3 linked regions of the Saccharomyces cerevisiae S288C genome follow. The gene in region 2 interacts genetically with the main gene of each other region. Each region holds a gene or a part of one and is shown on either strand. Other genes may lie near its edges.

The links. A genetic interaction does not mean that the proteins touch.
Region 1: mutations in GAL3 (region 2) and HOS2 together harm fitness less than expected from each alone (positive genetic interaction), as found in Saccharomyces cerevisiae (3 studies listed by BioGRID, with this or other methods).
Region 3: of GAL3 (region 2) and GAL10, changing one enhances a phenotype caused by changing the other (phenotypic enhancement), as found in Saccharomyces cerevisiae (2 studies listed by BioGRID, with this or other methods).

Annotation. Positions count from the first base shown.
Region 1 is NC_001139.9:137,738-145,055, reverse strand, and holds HOS2 (histone deacetylase HOS2), read left to right. Parts: upstream 1-3,329; coding exon 3,330-4,688; downstream 4,689-7,318. Other genes in the region: COX13 (cytochrome c oxidase subunit VIa), read right to left, coding at 1-248; IME4 (mRNA (N6-adenosine)-methyltransferase), read right to left, coding at 1,008-2,810; YGL193C (uncharacterized protein), read left to right, coding at 2,829-3,140; YGL194C-A (uncharacterized protein), read left to right, coding at 5,095-5,337; GCN1 (Gcn1p), read right to left, coding at 5,513-7,318.
Region 2 is NC_001136.10:459,430-467,093, reverse strand, and holds GAL3 (transcriptional regulator GAL3), read right to left. Parts: upstream 3,661-7,664; coding exon 2,098-3,660; downstream 1-2,097. Other genes in the region: ATP-binding cassette transporter SNQ2, read right to left, coding at 1-1,175; YDR010C (uncharacterized protein), read left to right, coding at 1,711-2,043; phosphoribosylanthranilate isomerase TRP1, read right to left, coding at 4,578-5,252; SOK1 (Sok1p), read left to right, coding at 5,847-7,664.
Region 3 is NC_001134.8:273,623-282,019, forward strand, and holds GAL10 (bifunctional UDP-glucose 4-epimerase/aldose 1-epimerase), read right to left. Parts: upstream 4,731-8,397; coding exon 2,631-4,730; downstream 1-2,630. Other genes in the region: KAP104 (Kap104p), read right to left, coding at 1-81; GAL7 (UDP-glucose:hexose-1-phosphate uridylyltransferase), read right to left, coding at 805-1,905; GAL1 (galactokinase), read left to right, coding at 5,399-6,985; FUR4 (uracil permease), read left to right, coding at 7,821-8,397. UniProt on the Saccharomyces cerevisiae protein: Mutarotase converts alpha-aldose to the beta-anomer. It is active on D-glucose, L-arabinose, D-xylose, D-galactose, maltose and lactose.

The sequences.
Region 1 (7,318 bases), on a different chromosome or scaffold from region 2:
TGTTCACGATGCTCAGCATGCTCCTTTTCAACAAAGTATGTGTTCACAGCTGTTAAAGCAATTGCTGGTAGGGCGACCCAAACTGAGATTTTAACCCACATATTAGATGTGTCCTTCGCATGCTTTTCAGTGGCCATTAATGATTCTTTAAATTTTTGAGCTGCCACTTTATCTGGTGGGCCAAATGCAGGTTTCAAAGCATTTGGGGGTAATGAAGATGCATATCTCTTAGCACACTGTCTAAACATTTTTCTATTGTTTGTTATTTGTATAACTGTAGAACTGTAGTAATATGATTTTAAATCTAGATAAAACACATGCGATGTGTAGTGAAAACGTTCAAGGCAACGTGTATGTTTGTTATATTTAATGTATCCCGTCACTCATCGTGATCACATCCCAGCTGGGGGTTATTTTTCGATTCTCTTAGACCGATACTCCCAGTACCGCCTCTCATTGGTGGGAAAAAAAATTACCCGAAATTACTATATTGTGTCAATACCGCACCATATCACTACATTCATAGCGGTATAATCGAAAGGATAGCGGCGTTGGGTTACTACTATCGTCTACCTATTCAGCAGGATAGCTTACTCTGTATTAGCAAATAATAGTCGTTCTTCGCTATTCCCACAGTTTCCAGTAAGAACGATTGGAGTAGAAAAAAAGAATGGTAGAATGCGCCATGGGAAAGAACCGACCAAGAGTGGGAGCAAATAAGTCAAGTAATTACATTAGTAGTGTTTAATGGTTGAAAATATGGCCAGAACTAGTATTAGCTTTCTCCAGGCGACAACAATTTTTAAACATCCGGGTAATAAATTGTTCCAGTTGATGTAAAAAAATACACGGACTCGGATAATAATTATTGGACATAAACCATATCCTTCTCTATTCCAAAGTTTGTCTAATACAGACCAGGAAACCATTTACTTCCCGCTGCAGTCTTTTTTATGACCATCTTTTTTATGCAATGCTATTAATGTTTAAAAGGATTATTTAACGCTTTACTGAGCAAAATATAGGTTATTTAGTGTTTGGAATTGTTGTTTTTGTTGCTGTTTGGATTCAAAGGGAGTATGTTTTTGATTCATAGGATTCTGCTTGGCCTCAGCATAATACTTACCACTCCCCATATCCATATTATTCCAATACTGCTGCTGATGCTGCTGCTGTAATTTTGAAGGTTGCTTTTTGTCGATTTTTTTAGTACCAGTGTGGCTGGTTCCAGTTTTGCTCTTCATAAACTCCTGGTACTTCCTCTCGACATCCATTTCGTAAATGCAATTTCCTGTCAACTGGTTTCCGATGGTAAACCAGCCAGGCCGCGTATTGTGATCCCTTCCGAATATCTCTAGTTTTCTGGCATGGGTGCCTGCCAACCGTTCTGCTATACCATACAGTTCATCAGGCTTTCTACTAGTCTCTCTGGTCATTGATACGATCAAATCGACGTCAATATGTTTGTTGATCCACTTTGGATTACCCTTTAAGCCCACCAATAAATGCTCCTTAGAATGATTTAACCAATGACCCGTACGACCTGTAACAATTGTTCTACCCAGTTGGTTTGTCTTTATCCATGAAACTTCATTTATCACGTTGTAACCCCAGTTATTCAAAGACTCTTTACCCAATTCTATAGCTCTACCCGTCACCCAAAGAAAAATAATACCTTCATCTTGTAGTTCGTGCAAAGGCAAACCTAATAGTTCAATATCGTTGCAAGTACCGTATGGTAGGTTCATATGGATATTCCATGCAGGATCTGCAATAACTACCGAAAACTTTCCAAGAACCCTAAAATCAAATTTCCGCACATCGCAACGGATCCACTGTGCAGGTAAAGCCTTTTTGATACAATGTGCGGAGCAATTGCCCAGAGTATAAAATGGAATGGAAACGTTTGACCGTATTCTTTTATTTTCACTCGCAGTTTCACGATCAGCTCGCTCTTGCAAGCATGACGGAATATATTGCAGGTAATGAATGTATCGACACGTATTTAATTTATGACAGGTATCCAAATAGGAACAATCTCCTAACGAAATATCAGTTTGTGGTTTGATATTAGGGATAAAGTGAATTTTTGATTGAATGCACTCAATTAATCCTGGGTGATTTTCCTGACATGCGGATATTTTGGACCATTGTAAAGAAACGATTTTGTTATTGACAATGTACACCGAGGTGGACAATAGAGATGCATGCGAATAGTCACTACATATCGGGATGTATTCAATGACCTCGGTCGTGTATTTGGCTCTTTCTTTAGCAAGCTGAAAAGATGATGGTTTTTCCCTCAATAAATTTTGTAAGCGATTGCTCAGTTGTTCACGTGGTAACCCCTGGTTGCTGACGTTAACGTCCCAGTTCAGGACTCCAAGCAGTCTACCCAGCAGTTGGTCTTTTTCCGAATCAGCTTCCGGTTTTGTTGTTAAACTCGACACTTTTTCTTCACATGAAGAACTGGACGATTTTAATGTATAGTAGAAGGCATGGAACTTGTTATAGAGAATTTTCAAGGAAAAAACGTCCAGGTAAACAATTTTTTCTGGCCTATCTGCCACTAATAGATTCTGGTCAAATTGAATGGACTGCGGCGTTGCAAATATAATATCCTGAAGATCATTCCAAAACTGTTCAAACTGTAAGACCTCGTCTTTATCGTTTCTCAACTTCTGCATCTCATCATCGTATCCGCCACTGATGTACAGTGAATACACATCTTTGAGCTGTCCAGAAAGCGGTGCTCTTAGGATGTCATCATAATTCTGGATCAGAAAATGTACTAGTTTATCGTTAATCATAGCCTGCTTACAACTTTTATGAATTCAAGTCTGAATGCCAATTCTTATTTTTTTCGAAAACCCCCAATGCTAACTTATATGGTCCGTTTTCTTTACTGTTATCCATCTCCCTTTCCTATAGCTCCAGCGGTTACCGATCTTCCAGAATGCCGGGGAGATCTTTCTCTTTCTTTGTTTATAACAAGTTTCACAAGCACGAAAGAAAGAACAATACTGTACGCCAAAAGCCGCCTAAAGACGCATATTCCCGTCAATTTATGTGACCGGTACCACTATATACCTAAGGCACCTCTATACCAATGTAGAATGCCCTGTTTATACTCTATATAGAGGATTCTCGATGTTCTTTGGGGCATCGTTAAACGTGATATTCCTACTATGTTACTAAATGTTGAACTGAAAGCATCTTGAAACGATTCTAATCAGTTTTAGGTGTGTCGCCAATGTACAGTTATAGAAAAGACGCCAGATTACTCAAGTACGTTAAAATCAGGTATCAAGTGAATAACAACACGCAACATGTCTGGAACATTTAGTTATGATGTGAAAACAAAGGAGAACGAACCATTATTTGAGTTTAATTCTGCTTATTCTCCCAGGGTATCGTATCATTTTAACTCCAAAGTTTCACATTACCATTATGGTGTTAAGCATCCAATGAAGCCGTTTCGGTTAATGCTAACGGATCACCTAGTTTCCTCTTATGGATTGCACAAGATTATGGACCTTTATGAAACAAGAAGCGCTACCAGAGACGAATTACTACAATTTCACTCGGAAGACTACGTGAATTTTCTCTCGAAGGTTTCACCAGAAAATGCAAACAAACTGCCCAGAGGCACACTTGAAAATTTTAACATTGGAGACGACTGTCCTATTTTTCAAAATTTATATGATTATACAACACTATACACTGGTGCGAGCCTTGACGCCACCAGGAAACTAATCAACAATCAATCGGACATAGCGATAAATTGGTCTGGTGGTCTTCATCATGCAAAAAAGAATAGTCCATCTGGGTTTTGCTATGTAAATGATATTGTGCTTTCTATTTTGAACTTATTACGATATCACCCAAGAATCCTTTATATCGATATCGACTTACATCACGGCGATGGTGTCCAGGAGGCATTTTACACCACAGATAGGGTCTTCACGTTGTCTTTTCATAAATATAATGGCGAATTTTTCCCAGGAACTGGTGATCTGACAGAAATTGGTTGCGACAAAGGAAAACATTTCGCATTAAATGTACCCCTAGAAGATGGCATAGATGACGACTCATATATAAACCTTTTCAAGTCAATTGTAGATCCTCTAATAATGACTTTCAAACCAACACTTATTGTCCAACAATGCGGTGCGGATTCCTTAGGTCATGATCGCTTAGGATGCTTCAATTTAAATATAAAGGCACATGGAGAATGCGTAAAATTTGTCAAATCATTTGGTCTACCAATGCTAGTAGTGGGCGGTGGAGGTTATACACCTAGAAATGTATCACGGCTTTGGACCTACGAGACAGGAATTTTAAATGATGTCTTGCTACCAGAAGACATCCCCGAAGATATCCCATTCCGGGACTCATTCGGGCCGGATTATTCACTTTATCCTATGTTAGATGACTTATACGAAAACAAAAACAGTAAAAAACTACTGGAAGACATTAGAATACGATGTCTAGAAAATATCAGATACTTGCAAGGAGCACCAAGTGTCAGAATGGATGCTGAATGCATACCGACACAAGATATAAGTGCCCTGACAGAAGAAGAGGATAAAATCATTCAAGAAATGAATGAAGAAACAGAAGCAGACAGTTCAAATAGGCTAGAAGAAATGGAAAAAGAAAACAGTGGATTGATTGCCTTTTCATAGTTTAAGAGTTTGCTATTCGGTTAATCTCCCGTTTTTTTTTTTTTTTTTTTTTTTATTTTCCTTTTTTTTTTTTTAATGTTTTTAGCATATTATGTAGAGTGTTAAGGCCTTAAAAGTTATTTGCATCATTGTTAAAAATGACATGTATTGTATAAGAGTTCGGCTCTTCGATGCCGTCAGAAACATTTTTGGAAGGTGCACTCCGTATTCGAGACACTTCTGAAACGGACAAGTCACCAAACTACTCTGAAAACAACAAAAAAAAGCCTTTTCTTATAATTTGAAAGCTTCTCCCGCAGCATTATCGATATCGTGAAACTTCCAAAATCTTTCTTAATTAAACCGGACATCAGTGTCTACAACATTAGAGCAAGTCACTCAGTTCATGTAATACATCTGGACAATTATGTCTAATAAAGAGATAACTTGTATCAAACCGTTTAAAATTATTGCTCTAATTTTATTGATAGTTCTAATAATAAACCTCTCTTATAAGTTATTTCTGAGACGCTATTTAAAGTCGACAGTTATTTGGTGTTTAGGAATCGCCAATACAGATCGTAACGATATGATGTGGTGGCAAGTCTCGCCACTATTAGAGCGCTGGGTTTGGCAGTTAGTTGACAATTATGAATCCGGGTACGAATAATTATCAAGCCCTTATTAGCTACAATGCTGGGAGCAATAGATATATAAATAACCCTTATGCACAGCGGAAGACTTCAAAATATCTTTGTCTTTTATATCATTATGTGGTATGTATTATATAACGAGAATAATATATCAAATACAAAAAGTAACGAGGTTACCACATTGAATTTTCTTCAAATATCAGTGGTTAATTCAACACCTCCGACAGCCCATATTTCTCTTTCATCTTCAAATCTGTCACTAAACATTGTTTCCGCGTCTCCTCCGGCAGCAATCCTTTCTCTTTCGACATTTGCTAACCTTTTACCAACCCTCTTGGTATAGTCCCCAACAGACCGTAATTGAATTGTAGTACCTGTGACAGTTTCGATGCTGTTACCGCGATCTGAAATTTTAGCAAACCACTCGTTGAAAGTATGCATGTCATCTTCTTCAACCAATTTGAACAAAGCTAAATATGCTTTTTCTGCTGCGAGCTTAATTGGGATAACAGGATCACGCAAGCAAGAAAATACAGATGGTCCTACTACATCGAAGTATTGCTTAATGCACTCGTCAAATTTGAATCTGGCTAGTGTTCTTATAACCACCAAGGCCAACCTTCTTACATCCGTAGAATTACTGGCTGGTTGTAAGACAGCTTTGCTCAACTCATTAATTAACAGATTGATGTTTTCATCGCCAATTTTGAATGGTTCTGCAGCATCCTTTTTAACAAATGGAGACCTCTTTTCTCCTTCTAATAAAAGTAATTTACCAGCAGCAATGGTACCATTTTCTCCGAAGTAAACATCAGGGGAACGGATTGCATTCAAAATGTAACTTACAAATTCGTCTATCAAGCCCGTATTGAATATATGTGTTGGTGCATCTTTCAAAAAGGAATTCAAAGTCAGAATAGCAAACTTACCGGTTTCTCCATCTAGATCTGCATTCAAAACCTTGTCTTGCAATATCTTGTGGGCTTCGTCGTTCGACAAAATCTCTGATAACGATCCGATTAATTTAGCGTAAGCAACTGCCAATTTGTCATTGCTACCCAACATTTCTTCCTCAACTAAATTGACAATGTTTGTCTTAGAATTTTCGTTTAATTTGGAACCAGCCTTCATAATAACTTCCAGTAAAGCTTTAAGCATCGCAGTCTTGACACCTTCATCTGTGGCTTGCTTGGCACCTGTCACCAGTTCAATGACTAGAGGGTCAACACGAGGCTGATGTTCAATCAGGGCACCAAGAGCCTTTGCGGCGCGGAGACGTAACGTTTCATTGGTAGCGTCAGACAAGGATTTAACAAATGTTCTTTGTAATTGAGGGATAAAAGGCCTCAAGAACATTGGAATCTTAATGAATAGCACATTAAGTGCAAATAAAATTGCTGCTTTGATATCACTACTAAATCTTTCACCCACGACACGAATTAATGGACCAGTAATTACGCTCACAAATGGCTTCAAGTTAGCGGCAGGGGTCTTCGAAACAACGTCAGCAATGGCTAATGCAGATTCTTCCCTTTCATCATTCGAACCATACATCAAACCATGCAAGAAAATAGGCAAAACACAGTTAGGGCCTCTTGGAAGCTTAAATGCAGCGACATCTTGACCTTGCCTGCCTGTTAATGCCAATGACTGTTTAGCAGGCTTAACTAATTTTTCTAAGGTGGGCTTATCAACCTTCTTCAACAAAGTAGACAAAGCATTGAAGTTACCATTAACAACCCTTTGATCTTCATCATCTAATGATAAAATTGCGTGAGAGACAAAGTTCGGAATATAGACATCAAAATCAAGAACAGTCTTATCGAAGAAATTTGGCAAACGTTCTAAAACAGCTATGCGTTTCTCTATATTATCACTCTTTAGTAGTGACATAATCTGTTGAAGTAATGGGTGAAGACCTTCGTCATCATTCACAGATAAGAATACCCTGTCTAATGCAAGTTCTAATGCACCCTTGGTCGATTCATCTTCAGAAGT
Region 2 (7,664 bases):
CCAAAATAAATTTGCTTACCAGAATAAAGGACAGTGACTTTATCAAATGTTTCGTAAATGTTTTCACTTGCCTGATAAATTGTAACAAAAGCGGTTGATTTCAATAAGTTTGTCATAATACGGATGGCTTTTGCGTATTCTAAGGCCGTAGACGCATCCAAACCTCTAGTGGCATTATCCCAACAGTAAATGGAACCTTTGGCTGCCAAAGCCTCGGCAATGGAAACACGCTTACGTTCACCACCAGATACACCTCTAACGAAATCGTTACCAACTTTGGTATTATAGGTATGCCTTAGACCGAAAATGGTTGCATATAAATCTCTTCTGGATGCAATGTATTCCTTTTTGGAAACGTTATTGACTCTGAGAGCAGGCGTTTTGCAGGCAATAGCGAAATCCAAAGTTTGCTTAACTGTTAAATAAGGGAAATGAACATCCAACTCACCATTGTAAATAACATCTGCTTTATATCGTTTCATCATTTCTTCTTGGGGAATACCATCATATGCTACTTCACCGGAAACACCACCGGCAAACTGATCTATTTCACCAGCTGTTACTTTTAAAAAGGAGGAACAACCAGCACCAGGCCTTCCAAGAACCAAAATCATTTCACCCGCTTCTGCCAGGGCATTGACATTGCTTATGATCTGTCTCATCTTTTGATGCCTCTTAGCCTTAATACCTTTAAAGATGGTCAACGGTAAACAAAGAATGTTACCAAAGGTAGCACCTTCTAGGGCACTCGCATCCACACCTTTAGCGCTTACGTCCTCTATGGTAACACCAGCCTTGCGGATATGGATGCCTTGCTCATCAGCGTCTCTTACAAAACTTTCAAAGATGGCATGGGCATCGAACCCATCGTCACTATCTGAATCCATATTAAAGGCACCGCTTCTCGTTGTATGACGGGATAGTGCATCTGCAAATGACTCCACTTTAGATACGACATCTGGCGCCATTTCAGACACAGTGGCACTAATCTGGCTCGCAGTGTCTCTTGCAGGTCCTGTCAGCATTTTTGTTAGTTTATCCGCCGGGGTATCGCTCTGCTCATCTTTGTCATGGGTTATGCCCGTAAATGATTCTTCTGAAGCTGCAAAAGAAGCGCTTGAGCTTCTAGCGACAGCATTATGAGAGCTATCTTGCGTGCTTTTGATATTGCTCATTGAATTCTCTTTACGTATTTTGGTAGCTGTGTTATTCTATCCACTTTTTTACTGCTTTCGGTCTTCGATATAGTTTTTCTTTTTTTATGTCTCTGCGGGTACGTCCGCTATACCTTCGTTTTCTCAGGGAGCTTGAACTCTAATCAATGGAAGGAGAAAATAATCAATGTTGAAGACGATGGATGCACTGAGAATGTAATGCACTGGTGATATAGTAACTCCTATATCCTACAGTGAGCTTTTTTTTTTTTGACCTCGCAACACTTCAACTTGAAAAACAAAAGATACAAATACACTAGGTTCGTATATATTGTTTTCGTTAGGTATTTATTTATCTACAAGCATATACAAGCATAAAAAGTGGTGAGGCGATAGCGGTGAGGGAGGGGCACTACTCATCATTTGTTTTATATGTTGATGTTGCGTAGTCACTATTAGTAATACCAATACCCAGCGGGGTTGCAGGGAATACAATGGAAAGACCTAAAGAAAATAGAAAACGGATTTAAACGGAAATGGGCGGACATTTAGTCATATGTGCGCGGAACCAGACGACTGGGAAAGGATCGAAAGGCATCCGCGGAAACTTAAAATAGCTCCGCGGATGCTAGATTTCTACGAGTCATACATAGTCTGGCGTGAAGGTAATTTTTTTTTATGTCTCCGTTCTTTTCCAAATGGGGTGATCCGTGGAGGGCGGTGCTTCTTTCGCGCCACTTCCTTGCCGTGGAAAAATGTGTACGGTTACCATGGTCACATAACCTCTGTGTGCGGAGCCACTCTGACTCGCATCAACCGGGCTATGGTTGCATCGGATGCTGGAATGGGTTCTATTGGACTCACCAACTTGTTTCTTTATAGAGTGTAAGAGGTATGAGTAAACTTTTAATATTTAAAGGTTGTTCCAAGAAGGTGTTTAGTGTTATTGTTCGTACAAACAAGTACCCAAGGCAGGCTTCGAAACTATAATTGCGTCTTTTAGTTCTTCATCTGTGAGATCCGGATATCTTACATTGTAGAATTTTTCGATTAGTGCTTTTCGTACCTGTTCCACGTTCCCATTAGCGCCACTAGGAACAAGGTGGATAGTGCAACCGCCCCAACCAGCGCCAGTGAGACGGGAGCCGAAAGAACCATTTGCTAGGGCAATCGAGCATATTTGATTGGTTTCTATGCACGAACATTCATAAAGTTTATCACAAGAGGCCTGGGACTCATTCATTAGTCGGCCAAAATCTGTAAAGAAATCTTCGTCCGTGTGAAAAGTGGCACTTGTCATCATTTTTAAAGCCTTAAGCACCCTTAAGGATTCGGAGTAAACGTGTTTAGCTCTTTGATATAGTTTCAAGACTTGGAAGCGGACGGGAAAAGTTGTCAGGTAATCTCTAGTGAACTCCTCACGTGAACAGTTTAGCGCCGTAGAGGCTTCATGTACAGTGAATCCGCTCTTTTTCCTCGAGAAAGATTCTTCTACCAATTGTAGCATCTTGAGTAAACGTTCAATACCAGTTCCGATATCTCCATTCCATGGTTGGGCTTGGTTTTCGTATCTGGCGTAGTAAGCATCCATAAAATCTCTTAGATTCCCTCTTTCTGAGTTAGAATTGTCCTTGTGAGATGGTAAGGCCACGCTGTATCTGGTCGCCAAGGCGTTGGCAGCAACTGTTACCTCTATTACTCTTAAATTGTAATTTGTAGGAGCAGTTTCGAATTTATTAGACTTTACAAGAGTATTGGCGATGACGAAACTGATTTCATGATTTTTCAATTGAGGAAACTTGAAAGGTGTGGCCTTTAGTTTTGGCCTAAACTCTACGTATAGAGCATGATCTTCTTCCCCATAAACAGACGTTGCTTGATCCATACCACCATTATTGACTCCAACATAGTGCTCAGCAACCGCTGTGATGCGGGTCAAGTCTTTTTTGGAAATATCAAAATTTTTTCCCATATTGGCTCTAATTGTGGCTAGTGCTGCCGCGCAAGTAAATGCAGATGAGAGTCCACCACCAGTAGGAATATCGCTCTGGCAAAAGATCTGCGCACCTACTAAGGGTGTATTATTAAATCTTTCCGGAGCAATTTTTTTCAAGTATGAATGTGCCACATGTAGTCCGCATTTAAAGTAATTCGACCATTCCGACACAGACGGATCTATGGCCATGTAGGAACCATCTAAAGGCAGATCAAACTTTCGCTGAGCAAATTTAGGGTCCGCATTTGTTAAGGTAATGGATGGATTTTTTTCGTCTAAAATTTTAACTGCGCAAAGCATATCCACATCAATGGCTAATGGCAAAACTGAAAAATCGCAATAATCTATATGCTCACCAATCAGATTTACTCTGCCAGGAGACCTAGCGATAAAATCAGGTTTGACATGGTATGTTTGGAAAAATGCATCTACAACCGCTAAATGTTTTTGTTCGAAAGACCTTGGTAAATCTCTGACCGGAGAACTGAATATTGGAACGTTTGTATTCATACTATGTGTTGCCCTACCTTTTTACTTTTATTTTCTCTTTTTGCACTCCTGATTCCGCTAATAGGAAGTATGAATACCTGGGGTTGTCAATGTGGTAACAAAGGTGTTGCCTCACTTGTCGCTTATGATGATTATATACGTTTCAGTAAAAATTTTACTGCCTATGTGTTGCAGGCGGTCAATCAATTGCATAAAAGACCGTGTGATGGCTTGGCATGGCGATTTCATTCTTTCAAGAATTCCACATGTTAAAATAGTGAAGGAGCATGTTCGGCACACAGTGGACCGAACGTGGGGTAAGTGCACTAGGGTCCGGTTAAACGGATCTCGCATTGATGAGGCAACGCTAATTATCAACATATAGATTGTTATCTATCTGCATGAACACGAAATCTTTACTTGACGACTTGAGGCTGATGGTGTTTATGCAAAGAAACCACTGTGTTTAATATGTGTCACTGTTTGATATTACTGTCAGCGTAGAAGATAATAGTAAAAGCGGTTAATAAGTGTATTTGAGATAAGTGTGATAAAGTTTTTACAGCGAAAAGACGATAAATACAAGAAAATGATTACGAGGATACGGAGAGAGGTATGTACATGTGTATTTATATACTAAGCTGCCGGCGGTTGTTTGCAAGACCGAGAAAAGGCTAGCAAGAATCGGGTCATTGTAGCGTATGCGCCTGTGAACATTCTCTTCAACAAGTTTGATTCCATTGCGGTGAAATGGTAAAAGTCAACCCCCTGCGATGTATATTTTCCTGTACAATCAATCAAAAAGCCAAATGATTTAGCATTATCTTTACATCTTGTTATTTTACAGATTTTATGTTTAGATCTTTTATGCTTGCTTTTCAAAAGGCCTGCAGGCAAGTGCACAAACAATACTTAAATAAATACTACTCAGTAATAACCTATTTCTTAGCATTTTTGACGAAATTTGCTATTTTGTTAGAGTCTTTTACACCATTTGTCTCCACACCTCCGCTTACATCAACACCAATAACGCCATTTAATCTAAGCGCATCACCAACATTTTCTGGCGTCAGTCCACCAGCTAACATAAAATGTAAGCTTTCGGGGCTCTCTTGCCTTCCAACCCAGTCAGAAATCGAGTTCCAATCCAAAAGTTCACCTGTCCCACCTGCTTCTGAATCAAACAAGGGAATAAACGAATGAGGTTTCTGTGAAGCTGCACTGAGTAGTATGTTGCAGTCTTTTGGAAATACGAGTCTTTTAATAACTGGCAAACCGAGGAACTCTTGGTATTCTTGCCACGACTCATCTCCATGCAGTTGGACGATATCAATGCCGTAATCATTGACCAGAGCCAAAACATCCTCCTTAGGTTGATTACGAAACACGCCAACCAAGTATTTCGGAGTGCCTGAACTATTTTTATATGCTTTTACAAGACTTGAAATTTTCCTTGCAATAACCGGGTCAATTGTTCTCTTTCTATTGGGCACACATATAATACCCAGCAAGTCAGCATCGGAATCTAGAGCACATTCTGCGGCCTCTGTGCTCTGCAAGCCGCAAACTTTCACCAATGGACCAGAACTACCTGTGAAATTAATAACAGACATACTCCAAGCTGCCTTTGTGTGCTTAATCACGTATACTCACGTGCTCAATAGTCACCAATGCCCTCCCTCTTGGCCCTCTCCTTTTCTTTTTTCGACCGAATTCTTAATCGGCAAAAAAAGAAAAGCTCCGGATCAAGATTGTACGTAAGGTGACAAGCTATTTTTCAATAAAGAATATCTTCCACTACTGCCATCTGGCGTCATAACTGCAAAGTACACATATATTACGATGCTGTTCTATTAAATGCTTCCTATATTATATATATAGTAATGTCGTTAACCGTTGATTTTTACTGATTGGTCTCTGCCGTGCGGGTGAGCGGCGCGTCCAGACGGGCGGGTGCACGTTTCTTTTTCTGACCATTTCCCTGTCAGCTCTTTTAGATCGGGGCTGCCGTTTGAAAAGTTTTATCATCGCCAGACATGCCATAAGGAATATCTCCACCGCCTCTAACTGTCCCTAACTCGGTCTCTTTCTTATAACTACCATTACTCAGTGTTGAGAGATTGGTAGAAATATACGCGTATACGTTCATTCAAGACTTATTTTCAGCCAGTAATATTCCCTACTCCTCTTCCGTTTTCAGAATAGAGATGGACCAGCCAAGGACCCATTCAGGACCCACGACGGCCAGCAATCCTGCCCCCAGCTCCACCAACTCGTCATCTGCTCCCAGCGCGACTAATTCAAAGCAGGAAAGATCCTCTTCGTCACTGTCCAAACCTTCGTCAGTGGTTCCTTCAAAGGATTCACCAGATGGTGACGCTATTGCTAAGACTCAAGCAGCCGCTTTAAAAAACGACATGAAATCTGGTGATACCAGTACATTAGATGGGTCATCTCAAAATATAATTCCAAACAGAGCCTCAATGCAAAAATATATTGACCAGTCATCAGATCTGCTGTCGAGGAGCTCCGGCGTAATAACGCCCTCCATGTCTTTGAATGCAAGCACTAACGCCACTAACAACGATAGCAGTGGCAATTCAGCTAATAGTAGTGATTTGAAGATCCCTATAGACAGGGACAATACTATATTCAAGACGTTCGACACCAAGACTGGTCAATTCTTGAAAAACGATGATAATGAAGAAGAAATAAGGAGGAACAATAAAGTTGATTCGATACCCCCAAAGAATATTTATACTAATATCAACAATCCATCTCCCTCCCCACCACCGTCGTCAAAGCAACCACCGTCTGCATCCGCGCCGCAATTGCCACCAGCAACGGAACCACACAAAGAACAAGCAGCACAACAACAGCCACCAGGAAATGCTTCTAACTTTTTAAGGATCTTTTCAAATAAAAAAATGAGGTCGCATTCCGTACCCACTATTTTGCATTCTTCTTTAAGAAAATTATCATCCCACAATCAATACTATCGTAATCAAAATATTCTTTTAAATCATCCAACTCCTTCCGGCATATCAAAGAAAAAATTTTCTAGAAACCATCATCAACCATATTTGCATTCTAATAATCCTCTCAGTTCAAACCCTCTTTCATTAAAGCGCGCAATTTTTTTAAATCAACAAATATCAGGTAACGCAAGCACTAACGCTAATAATGACAACATTAATAATTCCACTGCCACTTCAATGACAAATCAAAGCTTCCTATCAAGCTCAAACTTTGACTTAACTTTGGAAGATAGAATAAACTACATAAAGGCTACTCCAACGCCTGTTCCATTTCCTCCTATAAATTTGCAGGGCTTAAAAGAGATTGACTTACAGGAAATTCTGAAAAACCCACAACTAAGACATGATATAATATTCGACCCGCTACTACAATTCAGGCCAAATCTTGATGGCGAAAGAGGGAATAAAAAAAGACAATTGGCGAATATCTATTGGAATGATGTTCAAAATGAAATTTATGTTTACTCTAAGAGGCCTGAAATATTCCAATATAACAGGTCAAGACTAGTCCCACTTTTTGACACTTTAAGGGATGTATTGTTAACGATAGTCCCACAAAAAGAGTCTCCGATGATAAATAATGTACTGGACACAGAATTGAACATTCAAGAACTATTGAAAGGTTCTCTGATAATGTCTAACTTGTCAGGCTGGTTGGCTGATTTATTTAAACATCATTGTGCCCCCATGAGGGACCCATGGGTGGATAAAATGAGCAACAAATTTAAAGAAGCTGAAAGAGACTCTTCTTTAACAAGGTTAATAGAAGGTTTAAGGTTGGTTTTTCAAATTTTGGAAACAATGAAATTGGATATTGCCAATCATCAAATAAGAATACTAAGGCCAGCTCTGTTAAGTAATGCTGTAGAATTTGAGAAACAGTATTTCAACACTCTTATAGCCTCTAAAAGGGTGAATTTAAATACTTCCCTACTTTGGTTTGATAAAAAATTCAACGAAAATGTTACCGCTGGCCTTGTTAGAAAT
Region 3 (8,397 bases), on a different chromosome or scaffold from region 2:
TGGATTTGGTGACATACAGTTCTGTAAAAGAGTTGCTAGTTGCAACACATAGTCTTCGGCGGGCTTCCATGTCGATGCCATCTTTATTCACTTAACTACTGCTAACAATTCTGAAAACCAAAGACTGCGGAATATTCTGATATGTATTATTACTATTCACTGCTCTTCTGCATAATTAATACTGAAAAGTTTTTCATACTTTTAAACATAACCTTTTTTTAAGCAAAACTCTATAACCCGGATCAGAAAACTACGAAAAGAGGGTAATAACATAGGTGCAGGATTTCCATCGATAACGACACCGACAATGAGCCTTGCTGCAACATCCAATTAGGACTAATAACTATCGTAGGAATTTCTACGTAATAAACTTCAACAGAGCCTAAAATTTGAAAATAAATAATCTAGAGGGGAAACTTAAAGAAATTCTATTCTTGTCAATAAAGTGGAAATGTGTCAGATGTCACAGTTTCTTTATTTGTGACACATATTTTCAACATAAATTCAGGCATTAGTGCTTTTATAAGCATAAGAAGTTGTGGCGATATGAATATTCCAGATTTTACTTACAAGCTGCATTGTATTCCTAAAATTCTTTTTTCTTTTTTTTTTTTTTTATGGAAAGGACCACTCTTACATAACTAGAATAGCATTAAGAATCAGATTTACAGATAATGATGTCATTATTAAATATATATATATATATATTGTCACTCCGTTCAAGTCGACAACCAATAAAAAATTTAAAAGAAACCAGGCAGTTAATAGAAAAAATATGATATGAATGAATATTCCACTTTCTTTTTACAGTCTTTGTAGATAATGAATCTGACCATCTAAATTTCTTAGTTTTTCAGCAGCTTGTTCCGAAGTTAAATCTCTTTGAGGCTCACCTAACAATTCAAAACCAACCAAGAATTTCCGAACAGTAGCTGATCTCAGTAAAGGTGGGTAGAAATGCATGTGAAACCAACTATTACTCAATTCATCACCAGTCGCATTCAAAGGAGCCTGATGGATACCCATTGAGTATGGGAAACTCGTTTCAAATAAATTATCATACTTAATAGTTAGTTGCTTTAAAATCGAGGCGAGGTCCTCCTTCACCATTTGGTTAAATTGGCTAATTGAGGCAAGCTTCTTCTTTGAAATGACCAAGGTCTCAAATGGCCAGATGGCCCAGTATGGAACAACAACAATAAAGGATTCATTCTCCACTACGACTCTTGACTTCTCTCTTGATTCTAATTTGACGTAATCGGCAAACAAATCAGTATTGTGTTCACGTTTATATTTATCAAAAGATTTCAATTCTTGCGAAACTTCACTAGGGATGGATTCTAAGCACCAAGCTTGGCCATGTGGATGTAAGTTGGAACAACCCATGGCTGTACCTTTGTTTTCAAATATTTGGACATATTTGAAAGGCTTATGATTTTCTCTTGCTTCTCTGGAGAGATCGTCAGTCAATGCTTGCCAAGAATTAACAATATGAACCAGATCTGATTGTTTCATTTGTGGAATGGTTAGATTATGATTGGGGCTAAAACATATGACGAAACAATTGCCTCTCACAGATTGCACTTTAAGCAGCCTATTTTTAAGATTATCCTCATTGGAATCATTCTGTGGTAAAATAGGTTGATCGAGCCTAACGGCAGCATAATCATTGGGGAAAATATACGTTGATTCATATCTTGGGTTTAGGTTACCAGTAGCTCTTTTGTTACCAGGACATAGATAGCATTTTGGATCATACAATGGAGCTGTGGGCTTGTAAGCAGCCTCCTGTTGACCTAACCAAGGTCTTTTAGCTCTGTGTGGAGAAACTAAGATCCATGAATCGGTTAGTGGATTGTAACGTCTATGGGAATGGCTAGAAAAATCAAATTCTTCAGCAGTCATTTTTGAGGGAATATTCAACTGTTTTTTTTTATCATGTTGATGCTCTGCATAATAATGCCCATAAATATTTCCGACCTGCTTTTATATCTTTGCTAGCCAAACTAACTGAACATAGCTACACATTATTTTCAGCTTGGCTATTTTGTGAACACTGTATAGCCAGTCCTTCGGATCACGGTCAACAGTTGTCCGAGCGCTTTTTGGACCCTTTCCCTTATTTTTGGGTTAAGGAAAATGACAGAAAATATATCTAATGAGCCTTCGCTCAACAGTGCTCCGAAGTATAGCTTTCCAAAAGGAGAGGCAAAGCAATTTAAGAATGTATGAACAAAATAAAGGGGAAAAATTACCCCCTCTACTTTACCAAACGAATACTACCAATAATATTTACAACTTTTCCTTATGATTTTTTCACTGAAGCGCTTCGCAATAGTTGTGAGTGATATCAAAAGTAACGAAATGAACTCCGCGGCTCGTGCTATATTCTTGTTGCTACCGTCCATATCTTTCCATAGATTTTCAATTTTTGATGTCTCCATGGTGGTACAGAGAACTTGTAAACAATTCGGTCCCTACATGTGAGGAAATTCGCTGTGACACTTTTATCACTGAACTCCAAATTTAAAAAATAGCATAAAATTCGTTATACAGCAAATCTATGTGTTGCAATTAAGAACTAAAAGATATAGAGTGCATATTTTCAAGAAGGATAGTAAGCTGGCAAATCAGGAAAATCTGTAGACAATCTTGGACCCGTAAGTTTCACCGTTTTTCAAGGTTACACAATCTTTCCAGTTCTCTTGATTGATAGCATCAATGTATCTACCAGGCTCAATTGCAAAACCTTGTCTTGCTTCGTAACCAGCAGACAAGAAATCACCGGTATAAAATTGATAAGTTGGCTCTGTACTTAAAACTTCTAATGTAATATTGGAATCGGGATGAAAAGCCTTGACAATAAGCGTCAATTCATTGTTTAGAGTATTGATTTGACTTGGCTTAGCATTTTCATCCACCACAAAACAACAATCAAACTGGGGATTTTTGGGGCCTAAGACCGTTGGCTTTGTAGAGTTAAAGGTAGCAATTTCTCTATCGACGATATTACCCGTAGGAATCATGTTTTTGTCGACATCAACAGATTTTTTTGAACGCACCATAATCTCCGTACCCTCAATAGTGTCTCCATATGGCTTGTTCAGATTGAAATAACTATGATTTGTTAAATTTATTGGCGTCGCTTCACCAGCAGTCAATTTACCTTTATATACCATTTCCAAACTTTTTTGGGCAACGTTCACAGTATACTGTATGGTTACCAATAGATCACCTGGAAATTCGGTGTCCTTCTCATTATCTATCAGCATGTACTCGGCGGTAAAAACATCCTTTGAAGGATTTTGAATGATGGGTCCCAAAAATCTTTTTCTGTGGAAAGAACCGATACTACTATGATTCGCATTAACGCCGTTATTAACGGTTAACTGATAGTCTTTGTTGCATAAACTAAACTTACCCTTCGAAATACGATTAGCATACCTGCCGATCGTGGCGCCTATATAAGCACTATCAGGATTCAAATACCCTTCCTCATTTTCATAGCCAAGAACAACTGATTGTCCGTTCACTTTCAGGTCAACAATGCTGGCGCCCAAATTGGCAAACGTGGCTTGAAATCTGGTGCCGGCACCAATAGTCACAAATCTTGCGTCATAACGCATATCTTCAGCGGAAAATCTGGCCTCGACACCCCTTAACTGGTAACCAAAAGGATTCTCAGTAGTCCATTTCCATAAATCCTTGCAGGAGTCTTCAACCTGCAACTCGGTCTGCCATTTCAGTTCGCGTTTGGCCCTATCTGGTTTAGCCGTCAAGTTCAAAACATCACCTGCTCTTCTGCCCGTAACTTTGTATGGAAGATCAATACCAGAAGCTTTGCAGAATGCATGATAAACTTCAAAAACTGTAGAACCTTTACCGGAACCCAAGTTCCACTCACGACACAAACCTTCATTTTCATTGTAGGCCTCTAGGTATTGCAGGGCTGCAATATGACCTTTTGCTAGATCAACTACGTGGATATAATCCCTGATCGGGGTACCATCTCTGGAATCATAATCGTCTCCGAAGATGTAAAGCTTCTCGCGCCTACCAACAGCTACTTGAGCCATATATGGCAACAAATTGTTTGGTATACCTAGCGGATCTTCTCCGATTAATCCAGAGGGATGTGCGCCAATTGGGTTAAAATAACGCAAGATAGCAAACTTCCAACTTTTTTTGTCGCTATTGTAAAGATCATTCAAGATATTCTCAATGGCGTATTTCGTATGACCATACGGATTAGTAGGCCCTAAGGGACATTCTTCTGGGATAGGAATCATATTTGGGAATCTCGTAGCATCACCATAGACAGTAGCAGAAGATGAAAAAACAAATTTGGAAACGTTGTATTGTTGCATTAACTCTAATAAAACGACAGTTCCCAAAATGTTATTGTGATAGTATCTCAGCGGGATTTGTGTAGATTCACCTACAGCCTTTAAACCAGCAAAGTGAATTACCGAATCAATTTTATATTCTTTGAAAACCTTTTCCAGACCTTTTCGGTCACACAAATCAACCTCATAGAAGGGAATGTGATGCTTGGTCAAGACCTCTAACCTGGCTACAGAATCATAAGTTGAATTCGACAGGTTATCAGCAACAACACAGTCATATCCATTCTCAATTAGCTCTACCACAGTGTGTGAACCAATGTATCCAGCACCACCTGTAACCAAAACAATTTTAGAAGTACTTTCACTTTGTAACTGAGCTGTCATTTATATTGAATTTTCAAAAATTCTTACTTTTTTTTTGGATGGACGCAAAGAAGTTTAATAATCATATTACATGGCATTACCACCATATACATATCCATATCTAATCTTACTTATATGTTGTGGAAATGTAAAGAGCCCCATTATCTTAGCCTAAAAAAACCTTCTCTTTGGAACTTTCAGTAATACGCTTAACTGCTCATTGCTATATTGAAGTACGGATTAGAAGCCGCCGAGCGGGCGACAGCCCTCCGACGGAAGACTCTCCTCCGTGCGTCCTCGTCTTCACCGGTCGCGTTCCTGAAACGCAGATGTGCCTCGCGCCGCACTGCTCCGAACAATAAAGATTCTACAATACTAGCTTTTATGGTTATGAAGAGGAAAAATTGGCAGTAACCTGGCCCCACAAACCTTCAAATTAACGAATCAAATTAACAACCATAGGATGATAATGCGATTAGTTTTTTAGCCTTATTTCTGGGGTAATTAATCAGCGAAGCGATGATTTTTGATCTATTAACAGATATATAAATGGAAAAGCTGCATAACCACTTTAACTAATACTTTCAACATTTTCAGTTTGTATTACTTCTTATTCAAATGTCATAAAAGTATCAACAAAAAATTGTTAATATACCTCTATACTTTAACGTCAAGGAGAAAAAACTATAATGACTAAATCTCATTCAGAAGAAGTGATTGTACCTGAGTTCAATTCTAGCGCAAAGGAATTACCAAGACCATTGGCCGAAAAGTGCCCGAGCATAATTAAGAAATTTATAAGCGCTTATGATGCTAAACCGGATTTTGTTGCTAGATCGCCTGGTAGAGTCAATCTAATTGGTGAACATATTGATTATTGTGACTTCTCGGTTTTACCTTTAGCTATTGATTTTGATATGCTTTGCGCCGTCAAAGTTTTGAACGAGAAAAATCCATCCATTACCTTAATAAATGCTGATCCCAAATTTGCTCAAAGGAAGTTCGATTTGCCGTTGGACGGTTCTTATGTCACAATTGATCCTTCTGTGTCGGACTGGTCTAATTACTTTAAATGTGGTCTCCATGTTGCTCACTCTTTTCTAAAGAAACTTGCACCGGAAAGGTTTGCCAGTGCTCCTCTGGCCGGGCTGCAAGTCTTCTGTGAGGGTGATGTACCAACTGGCAGTGGATTGTCTTCTTCGGCCGCATTCATTTGTGCCGTTGCTTTAGCTGTTGTTAAAGCGAATATGGGCCCTGGTTATCATATGTCCAAGCAAAATTTAATGCGTATTACGGTCGTTGCAGAACATTATGTTGGTGTTAACAATGGCGGTATGGATCAGGCTGCCTCTGTTTGCGGTGAGGAAGATCATGCTCTATACGTTGAGTTCAAACCGCAGTTGAAGGCTACTCCGTTTAAATTTCCGCAATTAAAAAACCATGAAATTAGCTTTGTTATTGCGAACACCCTTGTTGTATCTAACAAGTTTGAAACCGCCCCAACCAACTATAATTTAAGAGTGGTAGAAGTCACTACAGCTGCAAATGTTTTAGCTGCCACGTACGGTGTTGTTTTACTTTCTGGAAAAGAAGGATCGAGCACGAATAAAGGTAATCTAAGAGATTTCATGAACGTTTATTATGCCAGATATCACAACATTTCCACACCCTGGAACGGCGATATTGAATCCGGCATCGAACGGTTAACAAAGATGCTAGTACTAGTTGAAGAGTCTCTCGCCAATAAGAAACAGGGCTTTAGTGTTGACGATGTCGCACAATCCTTGAATTGTTCTCGCGAAGAATTCACAAGAGACTACTTAACAACATCTCCAGTGAGATTTCAAGTCTTAAAGCTATATCAGAGGGCTAAGCATGTGTATTCTGAATCTTTAAGAGTCTTGAAGGCTGTGAAATTAATGACTACAGCGAGCTTTACTGCCGACGAAGACTTTTTCAAGCAATTTGGTGCCTTGATGAACGAGTCTCAAGCTTCTTGCGATAAACTTTACGAATGTTCTTGTCCAGAGATTGACAAAATTTGTTCCATTGCTTTGTCAAATGGATCATATGGTTCCCGTTTGACCGGAGCTGGCTGGGGTGGTTGTACTGTTCACTTGGTTCCAGGGGGCCCAAATGGCAACATAGAAAAGGTAAAAGAAGCCCTTGCCAATGAGTTCTACAAGGTCAAGTACCCTAAGATCACTGATGCTGAGCTAGAAAATGCTATCATCGTCTCTAAACCAGCATTGGGCAGCTGTCTATATGAATTATAAGTATACTTCTTTTTTTTACTTTGTTCAGAACAACTTCTCATTTTTTTCTACTCATAACTTTAGCATCACAAAATACGCAATAATAACGAGTAGTAACACTTTTATAGTTCATACATGCTTCAACTACTTAATAAATGATTGTATGATAATGTTTTCAATGTAAGAGATTTCGATTATCCACAAACTTTAAAACACAGGGACAAAATTCTTGATATGCTTTCAACCGCTGCGTTTTGGATACCTATTCTTGACATGATATGACTACCATTTTGTTATTGTACGTGGGGCAGTTGACGTCTTATCATATGTCAAAGTCATTTGCGAAGTTCTTGGCAAGTTGCCAACTGACGAGATGCAGTAAAAAGAGATTGCCGTCTTGAAACTTTTTGTCCTTTTTTTTTTCCGGGGACTCTACGAGAACCCTTTGTCCTACTGATTAATTTTGTACTGAATTTGGACAATTCAGATTTTAGTAGACAAGCGCGAGGAGGAAAAGAAATGACAGAAAAATTCCGATGGACAAGAAGATAGGAAAAAAAAAAAGCTTTCACCGATTTCCTAGACCGGAAAAAAGTCGTATGACATCAGAATGAAAAATTTTCAAGTTAGACAAGGACAAAATCAGGACAAATTGTAAAGATATAATAAACTATTTGATTCAGCGCCAATTTGCCCTTTTCCATTTTCCATTAAATCTCTGTTCTCTCTTACTTATATGATGATTAGGTATCATCTGTATAAAACTCCTTTCTTAATTTCACTCTAAAGCATACCCCATAGAGAAGATCTTTCGGTTCGAAGACATTCCTACGCATAATAAGAATAGGAGGGAATAATGCCAGACAATCTATCATTACATTTAAGCGGCTCTTCAAAAAGATTGAACTCTCGCCAACTTATGGAATCTTCCAATGAGACCTTTGCGCCAAATAATGTGGATTTGGAAAAAGAGTATAAGTCATCTCAGAGTAATATAACTACCGAAGTTTATGAGGCATCGAGCTTTGAAGAAAAAGTAAGCTCAGAAAAACCTCAATACAGCTCATTCTGGAAGAAAATCTATTATGAATATGTGGTCGTTGACAAATCAATCTTGGGTGTTTCTATTCTGGATTCATTTATGTACAACCAGGACTTGAAGCCCGTCGAAAAAGAAAGGCGGGTTTGGTCCTGGTACAATTATTGTTACTTCTGGCTTGCTGAATGTTTCAATATCAACACTTGGCAAATTGCAGCTACAGGTCTACAACTGGGTCTAAATTGGTGGCAGTGTTGGATAACAATTTGGATTGGGTACGGTTTCGTTGGTGCTTTTGTTGTTTTGGCCTCTAGAGTTGGATCTGCTTATCATTTGTCATTCCCTATATCATCTAGAGCATCATTCGGTATTTTCTTCTCTTTATGGCCCGTTA